Daphnia pulex: one gene and its partners. The main gene of each other region encodes a partner of the protein of the gene in region 2 in a complex. Links are inferred from orthologs where the notes say so. Each region holds a gene or a part of one and is shown on either strand. Other genes may lie near its edges.

The links.
Region 1: mediator of RNA polymerase II transcription subunit 23-like (region 2) and mediator of RNA polymerase II transcription subunit 31-A-like share a complex: the UniProt entries of both Drosophila melanogaster proteins name them as parts of the mediator complex. The link is inferred for Daphnia pulex from reciprocal best matches to the Drosophila melanogaster genes MED23 and MED31.
Region 3: mediator of RNA polymerase II transcription subunit 23-like (region 2) and mediator of RNA polymerase II transcription subunit 21-like share a complex: the UniProt entries of both Drosophila melanogaster proteins name them as parts of the mediator complex. The link is inferred for Daphnia pulex from reciprocal best matches to the Drosophila melanogaster genes MED23 and MED21.

The regions. Positions count from the first base shown.
Region 1 is NC_060024.1:13,243,223-13,249,373, reverse strand, and holds mediator of RNA polymerase II transcription subunit 31-A-like, read left to right. Parts: upstream 1-2,814; 5' UTR 2,815-2,955; coding exon 2,956-2,968; intron 2,969-3,046; coding exon 3,047-3,127; intron 3,128-3,184; coding exon 3,185-3,281; intron 3,282-3,340; coding exon 3,341-3,551; 3' UTR 3,552-3,639; downstream 3,640-6,151. Other genes in the region: 2-oxo-4-hydroxy-4-carboxy-5-ureidoimidazoline decarboxylase-like, read right to left, coding at 3,784-3,979, 4,052-4,205, 4,285-4,471; fructose-bisphosphate aldolase-like, read left to right, coding at 5,856-6,038, 6,128-6,151. UniProt on the Drosophila melanogaster protein: Component of the Mediator complex, a coactivator involved in the regulated transcription of nearly all RNA polymerase II-dependent genes.
Region 2 is NC_060019.1:10,878,797-10,885,964, reverse strand, and holds part of mediator of RNA polymerase II transcription subunit 23-like, read left to right. Parts: coding exon of another isoform or gene 1-87; intron 88-818; coding exon of another isoform or gene 819-853; intron 854-953; coding exon of another isoform or gene 954-1,132; intron 1,133-1,200; coding exon of another isoform or gene 1,201-1,273; intron 1,274-1,368; coding exon of another isoform or gene 1,369-1,371; exon of another isoform or gene 1,372-1,527; intron 1,528-2,366; exon of another isoform or gene 2,367-2,448; intron 2,449-2,492; exon of another isoform or gene 2,493-2,591; intron 2,592-2,654; exon of another isoform or gene 2,655-2,952; intron 2,953-3,436; 5' UTR 3,437-3,524; coding exon 3,525-3,572; intron 3,573-3,634; coding exon 3,635-3,876; intron 3,877-3,943; coding exon 3,944-5,443; intron 5,444-5,512; coding exon 5,513-5,875; intron 5,876-5,942; coding exon 5,943-6,557; intron 6,558-6,618; coding exon 6,619-7,168. Other genes in the region: ovoinhibitor-like, read right to left, coding at 1-87, 819-853, 954-1,132, 1,201-1,273, 1,369-1,371. UniProt on the Drosophila melanogaster protein: Component of the Mediator complex, a coactivator involved in the regulated transcription of nearly all RNA polymerase II-dependent genes.
Region 3 is NC_060027.1:1,944,798-1,950,497, reverse strand, and holds mediator of RNA polymerase II transcription subunit 21-like, read left to right. Parts: upstream 1-3,121; 5' UTR 3,122-3,214; coding exon 3,215-3,256; intron 3,257-3,332; coding exon 3,333-3,545; intron 3,546-3,622; coding exon 3,623-3,784; 3' UTR 3,785-3,861; downstream 3,862-5,700. Other genes in the region: nudix hydrolase 8-like, read left to right, coding at 1,812-1,980, 2,049-2,140, 2,204-2,414, 2,471-2,697, 2,766-2,945. UniProt on the Drosophila melanogaster protein: Component of the Mediator complex, a coactivator involved in the regulated transcription of nearly all RNA polymerase II-dependent genes.

The DNA of each region.
Region 1 (6,151 bases), on a different chromosome or scaffold from region 2:
TCCCTTTTAGATAGAGAGAATAGAACACAATGTTTCTCGGATACTCTTTTGTTTTTCTATAGCTGGCATGTGCTGCTTACATGATGGATTCGCAGTCAAATTTTCTACTTAGAAGGAGAAATAATAATACGCATATAGGGCGATATTTTGATTTGATTCTTAAATTTCTTATTCTTCCGGTGGATTTTTTCTTCACGGCAACAGTACAATATAGACCCTAATTGCTTCTCCATGACAACAGCCTACAATGTTTTCTATGTACCGTATAACTGGTTGAAGACGGTATAGTTAGACTTGATGTCATTCACTCGTACCCCCTCGACATGTACGCGTAAGAGTGAGAAAGGGAAGAAGACTATAAACAAAAGAAAGATTTTATTTTGATGTCAAACTATTCTATTTTTGACATCATGTCGAAAATAATGTATAGCGCTGCATAAGGATGATTAAGACTTGCAAATTCTTGGTGATTTCATTATATAGCTGCAGCGGCGTGAGTTGAATAATTGAAACATTTGCGACTAATAGGATCGACTCGTTTATAGATTTTTTGCATGTGTCAATAAGTGTTCCTGGCAATTCAATTATAATTAGCCTACTTATTCCCCATTCTGATAATTTCAGTAAAGAAAAAAAAAGAGTCGGTATATGGTTGACATTAAAGTCTATGTAACTGGATCCCGTTAATAGCCACTTAATGATGGTCACGTTAACAGAATAGACAAAAATAACGCAACCACCCGTTATTTTTTAGTCGTTGTCGTTCAATTCCCCACAGTTTGTTGCATAATGAATTCTTATTCCCATCACTCGTTTCGTAAGACCATCAAATCCGACCAAATCCTTTGATCCCGTTTTCTGATTATTCCTTTTCTTTTTGAATTGTCACTCAATTTTCATATAGCTACCCAGCTAAAAGCGCTAGCTATATAATGTGTTTGTACTACTCTTTATAATATTTGAATAATGAATGCGAAATCGCATCAGATGTTCACTTGAATATTCACGAATGAAGATTTCACCTGGTAGGAAACTTGTCATCCTAATACGACGTATAACACGCTTACTGCTGAGTACCATTAGATTAATAAGTTGTATGCTATGCGCTTTGCTGTTTTGTAAATAACGCGATCAGATAAATATTAATGTCTAGTCTCAGTTCATTTGAAGCAAAAGGTTCAGGAGAAAGATGATGATTCGTCTACTAGACTAGTTAAAAAATACGATGTACCCCAGCAGTGGGCTGCATATGATTGCCATTTTCGTTGACGCGTCGACAAGTTGTTTGACGTTAATATTTTGCGTTAATAAGATTTCGCGTCGCCCTTTTGTTTTGTTTATTACATTGTTTAATTTTTTGTTTCCCCCCCCCCTCTCTGCGTCGACTGCTATATACTCGGCGACGTGACGCAAATGGAATCGGGGGCTTGCTGTAATTGCCTTCAACGGCAGGTTAACATCACAACAGTTGCCGAAAGTATAGAGACGAGGCGGAGTCAGTTTTTGGGCATTGTCCGTCGCACGTGCCACCGCCCACCGGTTCGTCTACCTAGTGGCAAAAGCGTTATTAATATGGCGGGGAAATGTAATGAGAATCTTTTCCACGAAAATTTGAAACTCCTCAGGTAAAAAAAAAAAAGGCTGATATGGGTCAGGCAATAAGCGGCAGGTGATTGATAAAAGCCCACACTGCCTCAGCAACAGCTGGATCATTTTTGTCATGTCACGCCACCTGTTGCTACCTACGCTCTACTGAATTCTGTGCTATCAATGATGGAATATTACTCCATCATTTATCCCGGACCGACGGCAGAAATCCGCGTTGAATCTATTTGTTACTCCAATCACGTCACTTTGCTGATTGAACTTATAATCATAGAAGAGTGGAATTTCAAGCACGATTATTAGATAATACCAGGGAATTAAGATTGATACGTTCATCCTCTTGATTGTCGCATGGTCTACCGGAAAACTCGGGGCCGTAGGTGAGAACCAACCATTATACATCCGCCGAGTGCGCAGGAGGATGGCTACGTAGTATAGACCTACCACATGTACAATACGTGAATATGCACTCAGACATGATACACCGCCCTCACGGCCGCGTGCATTATCCGGATGTCACGTATACACGGAGTAGATATGACACTTTAAGATGATATTTCTGACCTATACATGGTAGAATGCTATCGCCCCCGCACCGGATATCCGATCAAAAGTGGCGAAAATAAGAACAAAAGTCAAAGAAAAATTTCAACAGATTTCGTTTGGGTTGAATATTTTTGATTAGCCTACTTTCAAATATTTCCGTTCTGGAAAAGGACGATAAAATAGTAACGGAGGCGTAGAATGTCGCATATGTGAAACAACTGGAAATCACACGGTAATATATTCCATCTTTTTATTTTTCCGTTCGCCTTTCCTGCTGAATTCATAATTTTTCTGATTTGACTTTTTTATTTTGGTATTTTTGTTTTTCAACTCCATATTCCATCTAAATTCTTCTATTGATCTTACCTCCTACAGGAAAATAAAATAACTCACGGTGCAAACTGAAGTTAGTATAGTCTAGCCGTCTAGCCTATCAGCTGCGGCTTCATGGTTTATTAGGGTCCTACGGCGCAGCGCAACCGCAAAATGTTATCCAAATTCGGAAATCAAACTGTGTGATAAGGCCACCACACACATTAATAAATTGTGGGCATGAAATTTGAAATCGTTTTAATTTTTTTTTTATTTTGTAAAAATTTTTTTAAGTTAATTCAATTTTTAATATTTTCTCGATTTCTTTCTAGATGGCATCAATTGATCAAGCAGACGACAAATTGCAAAAGTTGACGCTTTCCAATTTCCATTTCAAGTTGTTGTCTGACGTTTCCATTCTGTCCGGTTGCCTCGTTTCTAGATTTCCAAAACTGTTGAAGCAAACTACGTTATTTCGTTGTTTGCTTCGCAATGAGCACCAGAGGTAAATATATCGTGAAGTGTAGTCGTTTTCAATACAGATTCTCATTGCTATGTTATTATTCCTTTTTCCGATGGGTAGAAACTGATGAACAACAAAGGATTCGATTTCAGGTGGAACTAGAATTTGTGCAATGTTTCGCAAATCCAAATTATCTGCACTGTAAGTATTTGGTCTATTTTTAAAATCAACACTTTCATTATGCCTTGTTTACACTAGTCCTTGCTCAACGTGGCTATTTTAAGGATCCGGCGTTTGTCAACTACATCAAGTATTTACAGTATTGGAAGGAGCCTGCTTATGCAAAATATTTGAAGTACACCAATTCACTTGCAATTTACCCTAACTAGAAATTACAATTTCATTATTTTCCAGGTACCCAATGTGTTTGCATTTCCTAGACTTGCTTCAATATGAGCATTTCAGAAAGGAGGTTGTGAATGGCCAGTGTGCTCGCTTCATTGATGATCAACAAATCCTTCACTGGCAACATTACACTAGAAAGAGGGTTCGTCTTCTTCAAAGTCAAGCTGAGAAGCACATGATGACTGTTCAGAATGAGCCAACACCCCAGAAAAGTGTTTGATTCATGATAATTATTGTTTAAGGAACTTTTTAAACTTCTCTTATATTGGGCAAGTATATGCAAGACAATATAGACAAATTTTTGTAAATTGCTGTATTTTGTGTTGAGTTTTTGCAAACTACCAGACAAAATGTTAACAACACATATGTTTTGGAAGACTTGTTTTGAGTGAGAATGTTTAGAATGGAATAGCTGCTGTTGACCTCAACTGATGGGAGCGAGTGGAAAATCTCTACATATTACGAGATTTGTCATCAGTTACTATACTCAACAACCTCAAAAGGCAGATTTTCTTCACTTCTTCAATCCCAATGTTTAGTTCTTCAGCAGCTGAGTGTTCCAATCTCTCAACTATTCCTTTCAAGATTGCTTCCTTCTTGTTCTGCCTGGCACAGATAACAAAAGGAAATCCAAACTTTTCTCTGTATCTATTAAAATAATAGCCCAAAAGACACAGCTCATTAGTTACTATATAGTTATAGAACAGTAATTTGTCATACTTGATGTTGGTCTCTCCTAGCAGTTGTTTTTCACCAGGTGTCATTGTGTCTAAACCAGCAGCTTTCTGTTCAGCAGTACTCTCCTGTGTTAGGCTGCCAAGTTCAGCTAGCCTGCCAGCCAAATCAGGGTGAAGTCTTAGCACCCCCTCTTTACCTATCAAATGAGAAAACAAATGTTCAATTGATTGGCTATAAATAAGCATTCAAGCAGCCTGTAACTAAATAGTTCTAACCTGTGTCCGGAAGGAGGTCCAAAAACGAGCAAATTTCTTGGTGGAGATGATGAACGTCACGAAATGGGCGATTACGCCAAATTGCCGCCGCGCAAATTGAACAATGTTCAACTACATTACCGAATCGACTGATGAAATCTTCATAATTCAATTCGTTTACCAGCGAAATGTTCAGCATATCAGCCATTCTTGACGTGTGTAGACCGAGCAAGTGGCGCTTGACGACGATCTAAACAGAATGCAGCCGTAGTAAAGATAGTCAAGGTCGTCTATAATCAAAATAAAAGTAGACGAATAAAAATTCGAAACGTGTTTGTTTTTAAGTTTGATACATTTGTTATTGCAGCACTAAATAATGACGTGGATTATTCTCAATCCTGATCCTGCAGTTTGTTTTTGAGTTAACTCGATCGATTATCTGGGAAGATAATGAAAAATAAAAATATAATATTCCACCACTATCACGTAGCTAAATATCGAGTTTTAACCTTCATATATTCTCGCCATATTTATGTACACACACTTAAGGGATCTCGTTTCCACGGTCAAAACAACGTCATCTAAATGGCATTGAAATTGTTTGTGTGCATAAGTTGTTTTGATTTTTTCGGCATCAAAACAGAATACTGAATTGCGTGATAATAACAAGTTAACAAACTCAAAGGAAATTGAATTTTTAAAGATTTCACATAGAATAGCCACTTTTATGTCTGCTTGTCGAGGTGCACGTGATCAACTGACATTGCCTGAGGGTCATACTACTGTCAAACACGAAGGGGAACACAGAAAAAAGCGTGTCAGAAAATTCGTGAGGACGAGACGACAAGGTGCCCTTACCAAACTTAACTTCCCAGTCAGTACTATCGTATTTATAGCCAACGTGCATAGATTCACGTTGGAATTTTTCCCGCTAGCCGCACGGATTCAGGCTCGTCGCTTCGACTCTTTAAAAGCCACCCAACCGGCGGTATATAGCAAATAGCCCCGACTCCCAAGACTAGCTCGTCACTTCGACTGCACCGACTGTACGATCTCGTCTGTCCTGATAATTCCTTCGTCTTTTCCAGTCAAATTCATATTACCAAGTAAGTTGCATCATACAATTTGAATAGTTACATATCTTGTAAATTGGAGAAGGTAAGTGTGAAACCATATCGGTTTGAATGTAGTTCACAAAATGTAAGAGTTTCTAGGATTCGTACCGAACGATCCTGTGTCAAGGTGACCTTCGTGTAGGGACGACGTATAATATTGATCGAACCATGATTCTAAAGATATTCAGTGGAGGCAGCTTTCTAACTTTGCCTTGCTCATTGATTGGATGTCTAGAAGTTGTTTAAATGAAAAGTCTTTATCGTATTGGGAATGTGAGTTCTACTTTTAGAATCCCTTGGTTCTGAGCTATTTTTTTCTATCCTTAGAATGACCTTTGGGTTGGCAACAGACTAAGGTCATATGGTCATCTAGGATCATGTAGTATGTTGAGATGATCTTTACCCGCACCAATACAACTAATTCTAAGTAATTCAATTAAAGTGTGGTGTCTAACTTTCTATTTTACTTGACAGAAAATGACGACCTACTTCAACTACCCATCTCCAGCCCTGCAGGAGGAGCTCCGTACCATTGCCCACAACATTGTGGCTTCAGGCAAAGGTATCTTGGCTGCTGATGAGTCCACCGCCACCGTTGGAAAGCGATTTGCTGATATCGGTCTTGAGAACACCGAGGAAAACCGCCGCGCTTATCGCGAGGTATTAACCGACCTCAATTGAGACCGGAAAATACGAAATTACAGCTTGTTTTGAAGTTTATAATTATTAATTCGTATATTGTATTTTAGCTCTTGTTCACCGCTGACTCTGCC
Region 2 (7,168 bases):
AACTGAAGCATTTCAAGAGAAAAATGTTTGAGTCGATGGAGAGCGAAGGAAGTTTTAAATCTGAAAATGTTGTCTATCGACGGACACCTTTATATAGTACTGCTGTTTATGTTATACGTCTGTAGTGCCTCGATTCATCAGGATTTTGTAGACTGCAAACGCCCAGCGCCAAAGGGGATTATTTCTAAATATCTCCATGTTGGGAAAATCCAAGGGAACAATTTCCACATTTTAGTTACAACATACGTTTTTTTTTTAAATAATAACCCCCGTTTTTCAGTTCCGTTTCGGAGAAAAAAGACAACCAATAGGCCTTAATGTTTAGAACATTATTGATTTCAATGGCGCGACGAATACGTCATATTACCTACAAACTGATGGAAAGAATGAAGCGGAAGTATATTCTTTTGTTGAATCATAAAACAATGATGTTTTTAACATTGTAACCTGCTCTATTTTCCTCTGTCAAAATCCTTTGTTCCCGCGGGTTGCATACCGAGTTATATTCTACTACGCAGTAGGCTACATATTACGCGGCCATTTTGTAAAGATTTAGTGGATTCAAAAATGAATGAAACTACGTATCTAGGATCGCTTAAATATGCACCCATCATTCAACGGATATCACCCTCGCATTTAAACTAAAGCGTTCGATTTTCTTGCTCTTGGTATGCGTAGGTTAGACATATGGTATGGAATGTGAAGTAAAATCTCATCTCAGTCATGTAAATTAATCAATATAATTTTAGATGTATTTAAAAGCCTGTATACAATGAGTGGGATTGCACAGCAAATAGCACAAGTATATAAAAGCCCACTGGTCATCATAATAAAATAGCGTGACGAAAACGTACTAAAACATTGTTCGTATTTGAAATCAATAATGAATAAGAGGGGATCACTATAATTTTGGAGTTACTATTTAATGAAAATAATTTGTCTCCGCCATTTTATGGGCTCGCTTCTTTGCATGCACCGTCATAAGCCTTTGTGATGGACGACTTAGTCTTTCCACATATACCTTTAGTCTCGACACTCAATACGCATTCGTTAGAGTAAGTTTTCCCGTCTGTTCCACATACTGGGGCGTAATTTTTCTTGCAGTTGCAGCTAGGATCCTGGTCTTGTGGAACTGAGAAATAACATGACATAACAGTTATTTATCTATACAAAAATTAATATGTGAGCGTAATTTCATACTTCCTTGGACGCCAGAGCTAATCAAAATCAAAGTAACAAGTGAGATGAGAAGAAGAGCTGCGCTGAATCGGTTCTATGACGGAAATTTCGTACAAAAATAATTAAGTATGTACACAATTACATTGCCACTTTTGGGGGAGGTACATATTGCGTGTTAAAGAATAATACCATTTCAATTTGGTGACCGTTTATTTTCGGATTCCTTTTTACAGAGTATATGATGTGAATGTTGGACAAAACTGTAAGAAACTGATTTGTTACTATCCAAGCGAATTTGGTATATGTAGCTTTAACCAGTGTCGTAAAAGTATTTGAAACGCCCAGTGCTAGCGGCTACAAACATGTAAACCGGTTTTCTGTTTAGATTTGAGATTGCTAGTGCATACTCTCACGCAACTCGCAAGGAGGAATTTGACGACGAACAAACTAAACGGTTCTCCATGCAGGTTTTATTTCGTGCAACTTGTTTTGGTCAACGCAACTTTCCAACGTACATAGTCACCACAATAACAACGCCAAAAAGCACGCTACAAAGTATCGTAGTGTACATTAATCTACTACACACAGGCAGGTAAAACGAAGTTGTCCTAGAACAGCAGAAGAATATTTTAGTTGTGAAATAAATGTTGTTAAATAAATCTAAGTGAAATGCTGGCGCTGAAGAGTATAGTTTGGGAAATACTAATTAATTAGTTAACTTAACCTGTTAAACAGGTTTTAGGATATCAAGTCGTCTTTGTTCGTGTCCAGAGTTTGAGCTTTCACGAAAAGTTCTTTCACTTAACGAGCAAGTGTAAGCTGTCGTAATAAATTATTTATGAGTACCGCGAATTAAATTGTAACAGAATTCTCGGAAAAAAAACAGCGCAAGACAATGGTTTGCAATGGAAAGAAACGGCAACAAATAAATTAGGTAGAGAATGTCGTAAAGAAATCTAGTATCAATTTAATTAGCCTACACATTTTTCTAGATTCAAATTTTCCGAAAATTTACAAAGAGATTCACACAGATGGAACACACGAAGATGCAGGTACAAAGTTGTTCACCAATCGCAGCTAAATTTGATTGTTGACATTCACCTTCATAAGCCTCACTAACCAACGATTGCTCAGTTCCGCATTTCGTAGTTTGAACTCTCAAACATCCTTCGTTTTCGTAGGTTTTCCCATCTGTTCCGCAAACTGGGGCCCATTGTCTACTACAGACACACTGTGGCCGGTCAGTTTGTTGTGAGATTTCTTGTCGAACTATAATTTAATAAATTAAATGGTAAATTTACTTACTGGCTTTAGGAAAGAATTTATTTACCTCCTTGAACACCTGATGGGCTGCTGCTCACCAGAACAATCAAGGTAAGTGCGACGAGAAGCAGAACAAAGCTTAAACGATTCTAATAAGGAAAGAATCGAAAAATCCACACTTGACGAGAAGAAAATTGTTGTAATCAGATTACCATTGATACAGCTGCTGAATGCATTTTTAAGTTCATCCACAGGATCAGTAATTATGGACAAATGAAAAGAAGAATTACATAAGAAATACTGTAACTGTAACGAATGTGTAAAGCTTACTGGGCTTGGCTACTATCCTTTAATACTAGTCTTCCTTTAAAGCAACTCAGTCACATTCTATCAATCGGTTGTCGTCAGGTTGAAACGCCTTTAGCGCTCTGTCAAACTCGTTTTTAGCTACAAAAAGGACTCTTCTTGTAAGGAAATCGTTGTTTCCGTGTGTTCTTTCTATTATTTAGTTAAAAATTCATGTTTGAAAATAAGACATTTTTAGATTTCGTCCTTCCGGGTGCTAAGGTTTTGCCATTTTGCAATTCATCAAATCATTGTCTAAATTCAGATCAAAATATTTTATGAATCATAGTAGTCATATAGCTAAATAATGGGGATTGAAGTAGCTCACGACACTCTTGTCTGCTGGTCAGGAGCTGAAAGAATGAAACAGAAACAAGGGACCATGACGAGAGATTATTATCAAATTGATTGAACTCTTGTCCCCTTGTTCTCTTTTCCTAATTGCTGTTTTTTTTTGCATCGTTTCCAGTTCTTCGATGTTCGAGATTTTTCCCCATTTATTAGCGGCGAGTTTGAATATTTCCAAATGTTTAGATATTATTGATAGATGGCGTTCGCATCAACGTTTGGCACTTCGATATTTTTCTTGAAAGATTCACGACCGGTATTCTGATCTTCTCCCATTGTTGACTTCTTTATGTTTTAAAAGGTCTGGCTGCAATTAAGTTTATCCTGTGAATCAAATCTTCAACTGATATCAGTAAAGCGTGACTTTACTTTTTAAAGTCGGCCTAAAAATGGCATTGGACGGAAGTAAAGTACAAGCGTTGGTTTCGGAAGCATTGGTATGATAATCTTTTCAAATGAAAAATAAAACTAATATACTAATGCTTGAGTCAAATTACAGAAAGTTGATGCCATTGAAGAAGCTTTTAATGATTTCCTGATCCAACGCAAGGATGAGGGAGTTAAATATAGTGCCTTGGAAAAAGATTTGATAGCGATGATGAATGACTCTCAGGCTGAATCACAAGATGCTATTTTGCCTCAGTTTATTGCTGTCATTTCTGGGGTCAGTAGTGATTCACACTCAAAAATATTATTTAAACTTCTGGAAAGTGTAGTAAACACAAATATTGCAACATCCCGGTAAAAGATTCAATTTCATGTATTGTAATGTCCTTCTGTATCACTTTTTATTCCTTTATTTCAATAGGAAAGTATGTGACTCACTTTTGGGCAATGAGAAGCTTACTCCTGCAAATCCACTTTTATGGCAGGGAAGCTTCTCACTCATCAGGAAAATTGTGTGTCATGTGGATTACAAAGGAGTACGAGAAATAATGAAAACATGCCTGGAAAAGGCACAACTCTTGCCAAGCCGATTTTCAACATCAGAATATCCAAATGTAACAGCATTGGAGCATACTTTGAAACACATTCTAGACCGCCAAGTCTGTCTATTGCCAGCCTATTTCATCGTGAATGAAATAAGAAAAATGTATCCAGAAAACAAAGACTGGCCTCATTGGAAATTGGCTGGTCTATTATCAGAAGTTGTGGATAGCTTTCGCCCTTTGGTGCAAATGCTCTCTCCTATTGGCAGACCTTTGATGTTCCCTGTGGTTGACCCCTCTGCCCATGGTGTCCACCACAGTTGGAAACTGGAACAGGGTACACTCAAACTTGCTTTGAAAGGGAATTTACCCTATGAAAAAGAGTATACGGAGCCACAGACCCGCTTGATCCGGTACGTTTTGGAGCAGCCCTACTCCCGTGAAGTACTTTGTGGAATGCTGGGCTTACAAAAGCAACACAAGCAGAGACATGCAGTATTGGAAGAACAACTTGTAGAACTACTGGTGCAAGCTATGGAACGTGCAGAAATCGCCCCTGAACAGGATTCAGATGCCGCCGACGAGTTGGGCGTTTCTCATTGGCTCTGGCACCACTTATCCAGCCAAATCATTTACTTTGTTCTTTTCCAGTTCGCCTCATTTTCCCATCTAGTCACGTTATTGCACGAGAAATTGGCAGAACGAAAACTACGCAAAGGGCGCGATCAATTAATGTGGGTTCTTCTCCAGTACATATCTGGCAGCATCCAGAAGAATCCTCTGGCCGAATTCTTGCCTCTTTTGCGGCTGTACGATCTACTCTATCCTGAGCGTGAACCTTTGCCTGTTCCGGACTACACTCGACCTATCTGCGTACATCAAATGGCCGTTGCATGTATATGGATACATATTGTCAAGAAAGCCCAGACAGAACAACAAAACGCCCAGAAAGAAATTGCTGCAGCTGCTGCGGCCGCGTCGACTGCCGGAGCTACCGGCACCAATCCTTCTCCTGCGGCCCCAACTGGAGGGAAAACGGATTCTCGAGCTTTTACGACTCTGCTTCAGAGACATTTTCCTCAGGCACTTAAAAATCACCAAGAATTTCTACAGCATAATGCTCTTAATCCCCCAAGCAGTGCTCCTTCTGGGGACTACAGGGTAGCTCTGCTTTGCAATGCATTCTCCACGACGTTAGACTGTTTGGCTCGCCCTATGGGTTCGCTAATGGAATCGTTGCACGGAAACCTAAGCCAAAAAGGTTCTGGGAACGCAGGAGGAAGCGCTGGTGGTATGCCAAATACAGGACCCATTTCACCCATTCCGCTGGCCTTTTTAGACGCACTGACTGTGCATGCTAAAATGTCGCTCATTCATAGGTAATCACTTCACATGCTTTACAGTTTTAAGGTTTTCTTTATTAATTTCTTATCATTTTCTTTGTTCAGTATTGTGACGCACGTTATCAAATGCGCACAAACAAAAATGAACGTTCCTTTAGCTCCGGCCCTCGTTGAAACGTACAGCCGCCTATTGGTCTACACTGAGATAGAGTCGTTAGGTATCAAGGGCTTCATCACGCAAGTGATGACTAGCGTTTCGAAATCACAAGCGTGGGGTATCTTCCATACCCTGGTGGAAATGTTCACTTTTCGTGTTCACCACATGCAACCACAATATCGCATACAGCTGTTAACTCTGTTGCATTCGTGCGCAGTGCCACAACAGCATCAAACACAGCTGACACTATGTGTTGAAAATGCGGCCTTGAGGCTTATAGGATTACTTGGTGCAGCAGAAATGCAACCTTGGTAATAATTTGGAACCCTTCAAAAGCAACAACTTAATTTCTGGTTTAATTATCCATTATTTTAACAGTTATTCGCGATCAGCTGCCGATATTAAACCACTCTTCTCAAGCGATTCGGAAGAACTCAACAGAGCGCTCATCCTAACGCTTGCTCGAGTAATCAGCGTCGCTGGATGTGAAACGCAACATAGCAGCTGGTACAAGGATCTGCTAACTTTAATACAGCAACAGACGCCTCATAGCTGGTCCAGTAACACACGCGACTGCTTTCCTCCACCCCTAGCCGAGTTCTTCGGACAGGCAGCGAATCAACCAGTCAAGGAATCAAAGCAGCAGTTGAAGCAAAATATCGAAGAAGAGCACCGAAAAGTATTGACCATGAATCCAGACGATTGGCCGGCTCACTTTGCCCCACAATCAAACAATCCGCCATTTTTCCTTTGCTTGTTGTGGAAGCAACTTCTTGAAACGGAACGTATCAATCCCGTAGCTTACAAGTGCATCGAACGCATAGGCGCCAGAGGTTTGGGCAGCCACCTGCGTACATTCTGCGACTTCTTGGTTTATGAATTTGCCAATTCTGGCAAAGGTCAACACGTTAACAAGTGCATTGACGTGCTTAACGAAATGGTGTGGCAATATAACGTCGTGACTATTGAGCGACTCGTTCTCTGTCTGGCCTTGTGAGTATTTATAATGCATAGTGAATCTAGTTTTCTTAATTAACGAGCTGTTCATTACTAGGCGTCCCCTGGAAGGTAACGAAGCCCAAGTTTGCTGTTTCATCATTCAATTGCTGCTTCTAAAAACACCGCAGTTCCGTTCGCGTGTTCAAGATTTCGTCAAAGATAATTCGTCCGAGCACTGGCGTCAAAACAATTGGCACGAAAAGCATTTAGCTTTCCAGCGAAAGTTTCCAGAACGCTTTGGACCTCCCGAATCGGTGCTTGAAAGCATTGGCCAGGGTGGCTCTTACCAATCTCTCCCTACTTACTTTGGTAACGTTTGCCTCCGTTTCCTTCCCGTTTTCGACATCACTATTCATCGTTTCACTGAGATTCCACCAGTAACCAAATCGCTCGAAACCATCCTAGAACACCTAGGCTGCTTGTACAAATTTCACGATCGACCAGTCACTTACCTTTACACAACGTTGCATTACTATGAGCGTAAACTGCGAGACAGGCCACTACTAAAACGAAAACTGGTTTCCTCCATCATGGGCTCTCTTAAAGATGTCAGACCTCCTGGGTGGGCTTTATCCGAGTCGTACTTAAACTATAGCACTCGTCAA
Region 3 (5,700 bases), on a different chromosome or scaffold from region 2:
AACCATAAAAGCAACGGTACACACAGACAAAAAAAAACGGCGATCGTTCATTTTCACAACTTTTTTTTCGAATAGAGGACCGACATTGACGGATCGGAAAATTGCAAAACGTGAACTTTGTTCCGATCGATCGAAACTGTAAACTCGACTCGATTAAAATTTCATCGATTTAATTATTCGCAAAGTACAAGCGAGTTAAACAGTCCGAATTTGTTATTCAAGTGTAGCGTCAAGGTCCTTGTTTTCATTGGCGCCCGGTCAGGGATCGTGTGCGGATTGGCCTGCAATGCTAATAATAATACAATAACACAGCCAATATGTCACCATCATTATCTCCCGCACGAGCTTTTAATCTTTACACTAATGAAAAAGATGAGCTCCTTTCCCTGGGCAGCAGCAGAAAATAACATCACCAAAGCCGGACGATATTATCCCAGTGATTCATTCCGGATTCCAAACACACTCACGTGTCTCTCTAATATTTTCTTAGTGATGGAAATAAATCTTGGACAAAAAAAATGTGGAGCCCCTAGAGTGACGTCATCTCAAACAGGTCAAGGCTTATACTGTGTATTTCTTCATCTCTGGTCAAATTATAATTGTCTCGTTCACCGAAATTTCTGGTCGTCAGAGTTGTGTGTGTGTGTGGGCACAGCGTGACATTGCCCTACTCTCGTCGTGTGTTATATACGCGCGCCTTTTCTCGGTCTAAATTATCGATCATATGCTGCTCAGAGAGGGGGAAAGCGAACACACACACAAAATAGTTTTCGTATATATAAAGGAAAAGTTGGAGAGAGAGACGGATCAAGTGGCGGTGGCGCTCCTGTCTGTACAAAAAGCCAAACAAAGGATTTTTGATAACGAAGGAAATGCCAAAAAAGGGTCACACACAATATAATAATAATAATAAAAACGGTAGCTCTCTTCCCTCCCCACACACTTGTGTGTTTGCGCAGATGGTTTAGTTATACGTAAATCTCTTCTCATCCGGATTAAATGGGATGGATCATGATATTATATGGACTAACTCTTGTTTTGTTCTGGCGCATGACTTGTTCATGTTCCCTTTTTTGCTCAACACTTGACAAGTGAGTTGACAAGTTATATTTCATCACTGGGGGTTTGTGTGTGATTCGATTTCAATTGCTTTTGTGGGGGGAAGAAAAATAAAATGGATGATCATGGCCGCCAAATGCGCCACACAGCAATCCCAAACGGCTGACAGTAGAAACTTAGAAAGTGTGTGTGTGTGTATACAGTACGGCGAGTGGGGGGAGTGTACTACTACGACTTTGTGTATCTTTAAAAGAAAAAAAAAATGTATGCGTGCGTGTTTGTGCGTTTGACCGTGAGTAGGAGGTGGTGGCTGCCTAGCGAGGCGGTCAAACGAATCGGGAAAAGGGGCAGGAAAAACATAATCATCCGTTCCCGTGTTGATTTGTCACGAACTTGGCCATCTAGCGGTCGAAATTCGCAACTTGCCAGGTCGTTTTGGTGAAATAACATGGGCAGAAAAAATGGATAGATACATAATCTTGGCATTTGTATTTCATGCCCTTCTAGTAAAGTGTCTGTATCATTTATTTATCATTTATTGTTGGAAAAGACAGGCAGAGATTTACAATAGAAGCCGGAAAAGAGAGGGAAAATGTGTGGCAACTCGGATTCACGGGACATAAAAGTGCAGACGATGTCAACATAAATATTATACGATGTCGTTGGACGATATCTCCTGCCTCTAGAATAAAAAGGACTCTGTGTATAGATGAAGAGATAGGCCGTGATGACATATTTATTGAACGGGTGTTATGAATGCTACTGCTGCTCGTCATTTATTGAGCAGCGCTCTGGCCAAGACGAAATCAATTGTTGTTAAAATGTCGACATTCCAAGGTGCCAAGGATCTTTTCGGCGGAATCATTGTGCGCTCGAGCGAAGAGCCACAAGAAAGGAACCGAATGGAGCAGCTTCTTAAAGGTGCAAATTTATTTTTATATATTAACACATCATTTGTTTTATGTAATAGTTGTTTTGTTTGTTTTTAGAATCTCTGCAAGTCTGGTCCACCACTGGAGTTCGTGGAGTCTGGTTTGAAGTGGAACCAACCTGTGCTGAATGGATTCCAGTACTAATTCAGGTAGTCAAAGAAGAATTATTGCTAGTCAAAACTGCACGAGCATTACCTTATTCATTTTCTTAGAATGGCTTTTCTTTCCATCACGCAAACCCAGAGTTGAGTGTGTTGCTCAAATGGTTGCCTTCTGACGAACCTTGTCAAGTGCCTAGTTATGCACACACAATGGTAGGCGCTGGAGCCATGGTTGTCAATGATAAGAATGAGATTCTTGTGGTTCAGGAAAGGTATTACAAAAGACCACACTGGAAACTCCCTGGTGGTTATGTAGATCCAGGTATGTATATTTAGACATCATTAACATTCAATCATTACCAATTATTAAATTTACAGGGGAAAGTATTGCTACTGCTGTCAAGAGGGAGGTGTTTGAGGAGACTGGTATTAAGACAGAGTTCGTTTCACTCGTTGCCGTGCGGCATTTGCAATCAAGAGAGAAGAATCCCAGTGCAAGGTTCGGCTGTTCAGACATTTATTTCGTGACTTATCTCAGACCTGTTGAAGGTAGCACAGAAATCAAAATGTGTCCTCGTGAGCTCAGCGACGCTTGTTGGATGCCGGTTAGTTTTCTAAATGTCAACATTTTCAATTATTCCTAGTCTGTGTAATTGAATTTTAAATATTTTAGCTGAAAGAATATGCGACTCATCCGCTTGCCTTCGAAGTTGGGAAAATCTTTGCTACACAGTTAATGGCGATTGCCGATGGCGATAATCCCGCAATCAACTGCCTGGAATCTATCCATCAATTGACTAATAGCAATAGCCAAATTTACTTAGTTGAAGGAAAACAAAATTTTAAACTGTAATGTGTTCAGGATCACGTTCTAGTATTTTGTTTTAGTGCCTGTTACGGGAATCAGATAACGCATTATATTTAGCTTGAATTGTTGTTTTAACAAATTATATATGCAGATCGGTAAATTACTGCCCAGTTCCTGTAATCATCAGAATGTAGAATTAATTTCACAATACAGGTTGTGAATGTTTAAATTTGGCATTGAAGTTATCAGATTCATCGCTAGGTGGCGTAATAGCCGGCACATCTGCTTTTCTCATCTCTGCATTTCCATCAACAATGGCTGATCGTTTGACACAACTCCAAGACGCTATAAATGCGGTATTTATAACTGATTGCATTGACGAAATTGCCAAGTGTATCGTCTCAAATTCGTGGTTTAATTCTCTGTTTCTAGCAAGCTGATAATTTCTGCAATGCCATCGGTATTTTGCAACAAACCGCCCCACCGGCTACATTCCCAGGTTTCGATCGAGCAGGCAATCGAACACCTCAACAACAACAAGAAGATCACGCTTCTCTTTTTGCCACATTGATTGCCCGCTGCGCCAAAGATATTGACGTCCTAATCGATTCACTACCCAGTGAAGATTCTACCTCCGAACTGCAGGTATAAACTTGGTTCTATTAGTATTCTGTCGGTGCAATGTTCTACGAAGTTGACTAAAATTAATTCAATCGCTGCAGATTGCAAGTCTCAGAAGGCTGGAGAATGAAAATGAAAGTGCCGCTGCACGATTGAGGGAGGTTGTCAGCGAAGGAGAGCTGATGCTCGAGAAAATTCAGAATGCACTTCACGACATTGCACAGACCCAACTGGCCATGCAGAGCACAGGTCCAAATTCCTAAATCCAACCATTATTTGCTCTAGTTCCCTATTTTTGATATTTAAAAGAAGAAAATGAAACAAACAATTTGCTCTGCAAGAATTTCGTTTCATTTCTGGTTTCCGCCACAACATCAATTTTAAATCTGTTCTTTTCAAAATCATATTGAGTGAACATTCTTGTCACACACAGGTGAGGCAAGTCATTTCAGGAAGGAAGGAAGATGGGGTGACAGATTGTAAAAGAAACTGTTTGAAAAGGATTCCAACCTTTTATATATCCACTTCTTTTTTTGTCTTCCTTTAGAAAACCCAAAATGGAAAGAAGGGGGGAGAGAAGTTGCTGTTCACTCGTAAGAAGAGAAAGAACACGCGGTCCGTTTGTTTAGGAATGGCGTGCAACAAAAAAAAAGAGGAGGGGGGAGCGGGAGGAGGAGAAAAAAAAAACGATAGAATGTTGTTTAGCTTTTTATTTTTTAAAAAAGAAGAAGTAGAAAAAATTCTCCCGTGTGTATAAATATAGTGCTGCCATCTTCTCCGACCCCTTTCGGCGATCTCCGGTCGTTCGGTAAGAAGGGGGAAAAATAAAGGGGGTTGGAAGTGGGTGGCGTTCAGTCTCCCCACTTCCTTTTTTTTTCTCTCTCCCTCCCCAACCCTTTTTTGATGCAACAACAGTGTCTGCGTTCAGCGATTATGTCTTTGGAGAAGATTACGTTTGGCAGAATTTCAGGTGAGTTTGAACAATTTGTTTTCTTATTTCACGAATTTTCCAGGGTAAATTTTGATGTTGCTCAGGATAAATATGAGATAACTGGGGAATATATAGAGTCTTATTAGTTCTATAGAAGAAGCGCCGCATACCGCTTCGGGGCAGCAACTGTGTGTGTGTGTATATCCCCCCCTTCTTCTTCTTTTTTAAATGTTTTTCTTTAAAGAAAACAAAAAATACTAAAAGGGAGGAGGAAGATGAAGAAAAGAGAGGGGGAAGAGTGCAGCTCGCAAAGGTCCCTCACTTCTTTTTTCCAACTCTTAAACGAGTTCTTCTTCTTCGGGCTGTCTGACTCCCCCCCCCCACCCAACCCCTTCCTTCCCCCCCCACTGAGATTCTTAACACATACGAGACTTTTATGTTAATTTCGTTCCTTTTTTCTTTCTTTCTTCTCGTCTTCCCGATATATTTTTCTTCTTTACAAGATTCCGGCCGAAATAATAAATATACCAGTCTGTCTGTCTGTCTGTGTGTGGGTTCGTTATCAAAACCCCAAAGTCGAGAGAGGCGGAGGGGTTAGGTATTTTTACTCCATTTCACTCCGGACGTGAATTTTTTGTTCTTTTTATTTTTTTCGGGAACAACACAGTAGAGTGTGTGTGGCACGGTCGACTGTAAATACAAATAAAACCACTTCCTGGAACTGTATAGATATACCCCTCCTATTCTTTTCCTATTTTATTTTTAATTTTTCGGAACTTTTTTTTGAATTTCCCGCCTCTTTGAAATTTGTTTATTTCTGCGTGTATTTATTGAAAAATATTCGTGTCTGTTATTGTATACAGACACGCGGTAGGTTTTTTATTACTTAAAAAAAAAGAAATAATTTTTGAAAGACATTGTATCTTTCTTTATATTCTTCTTCTTCTTCACACAAAAAGCACAGCTCTCTGTCCGGCTGAGTGAGCTAAGAGCTTCAGGGGAGGAAGAAGAAGAAGGACAACATTTTGTGGGCGTGAATTTCTCCCTTACGGACATTGTCGCCGACATTTTCAGTTCTGAAAGAGAAAGAAAGAAAGAAGTTTTTAAAAAGAAACATTAAAAAATAGAAAAGTATTTTCCTTTTAAAATAAAGCAACGACCGCCGCTAGATGGCTTATTGTTTCGGGACAGGTATATAAAACATTCACAAGTATATACCGACGTAGACAGCTTAGATGCACACCTGTA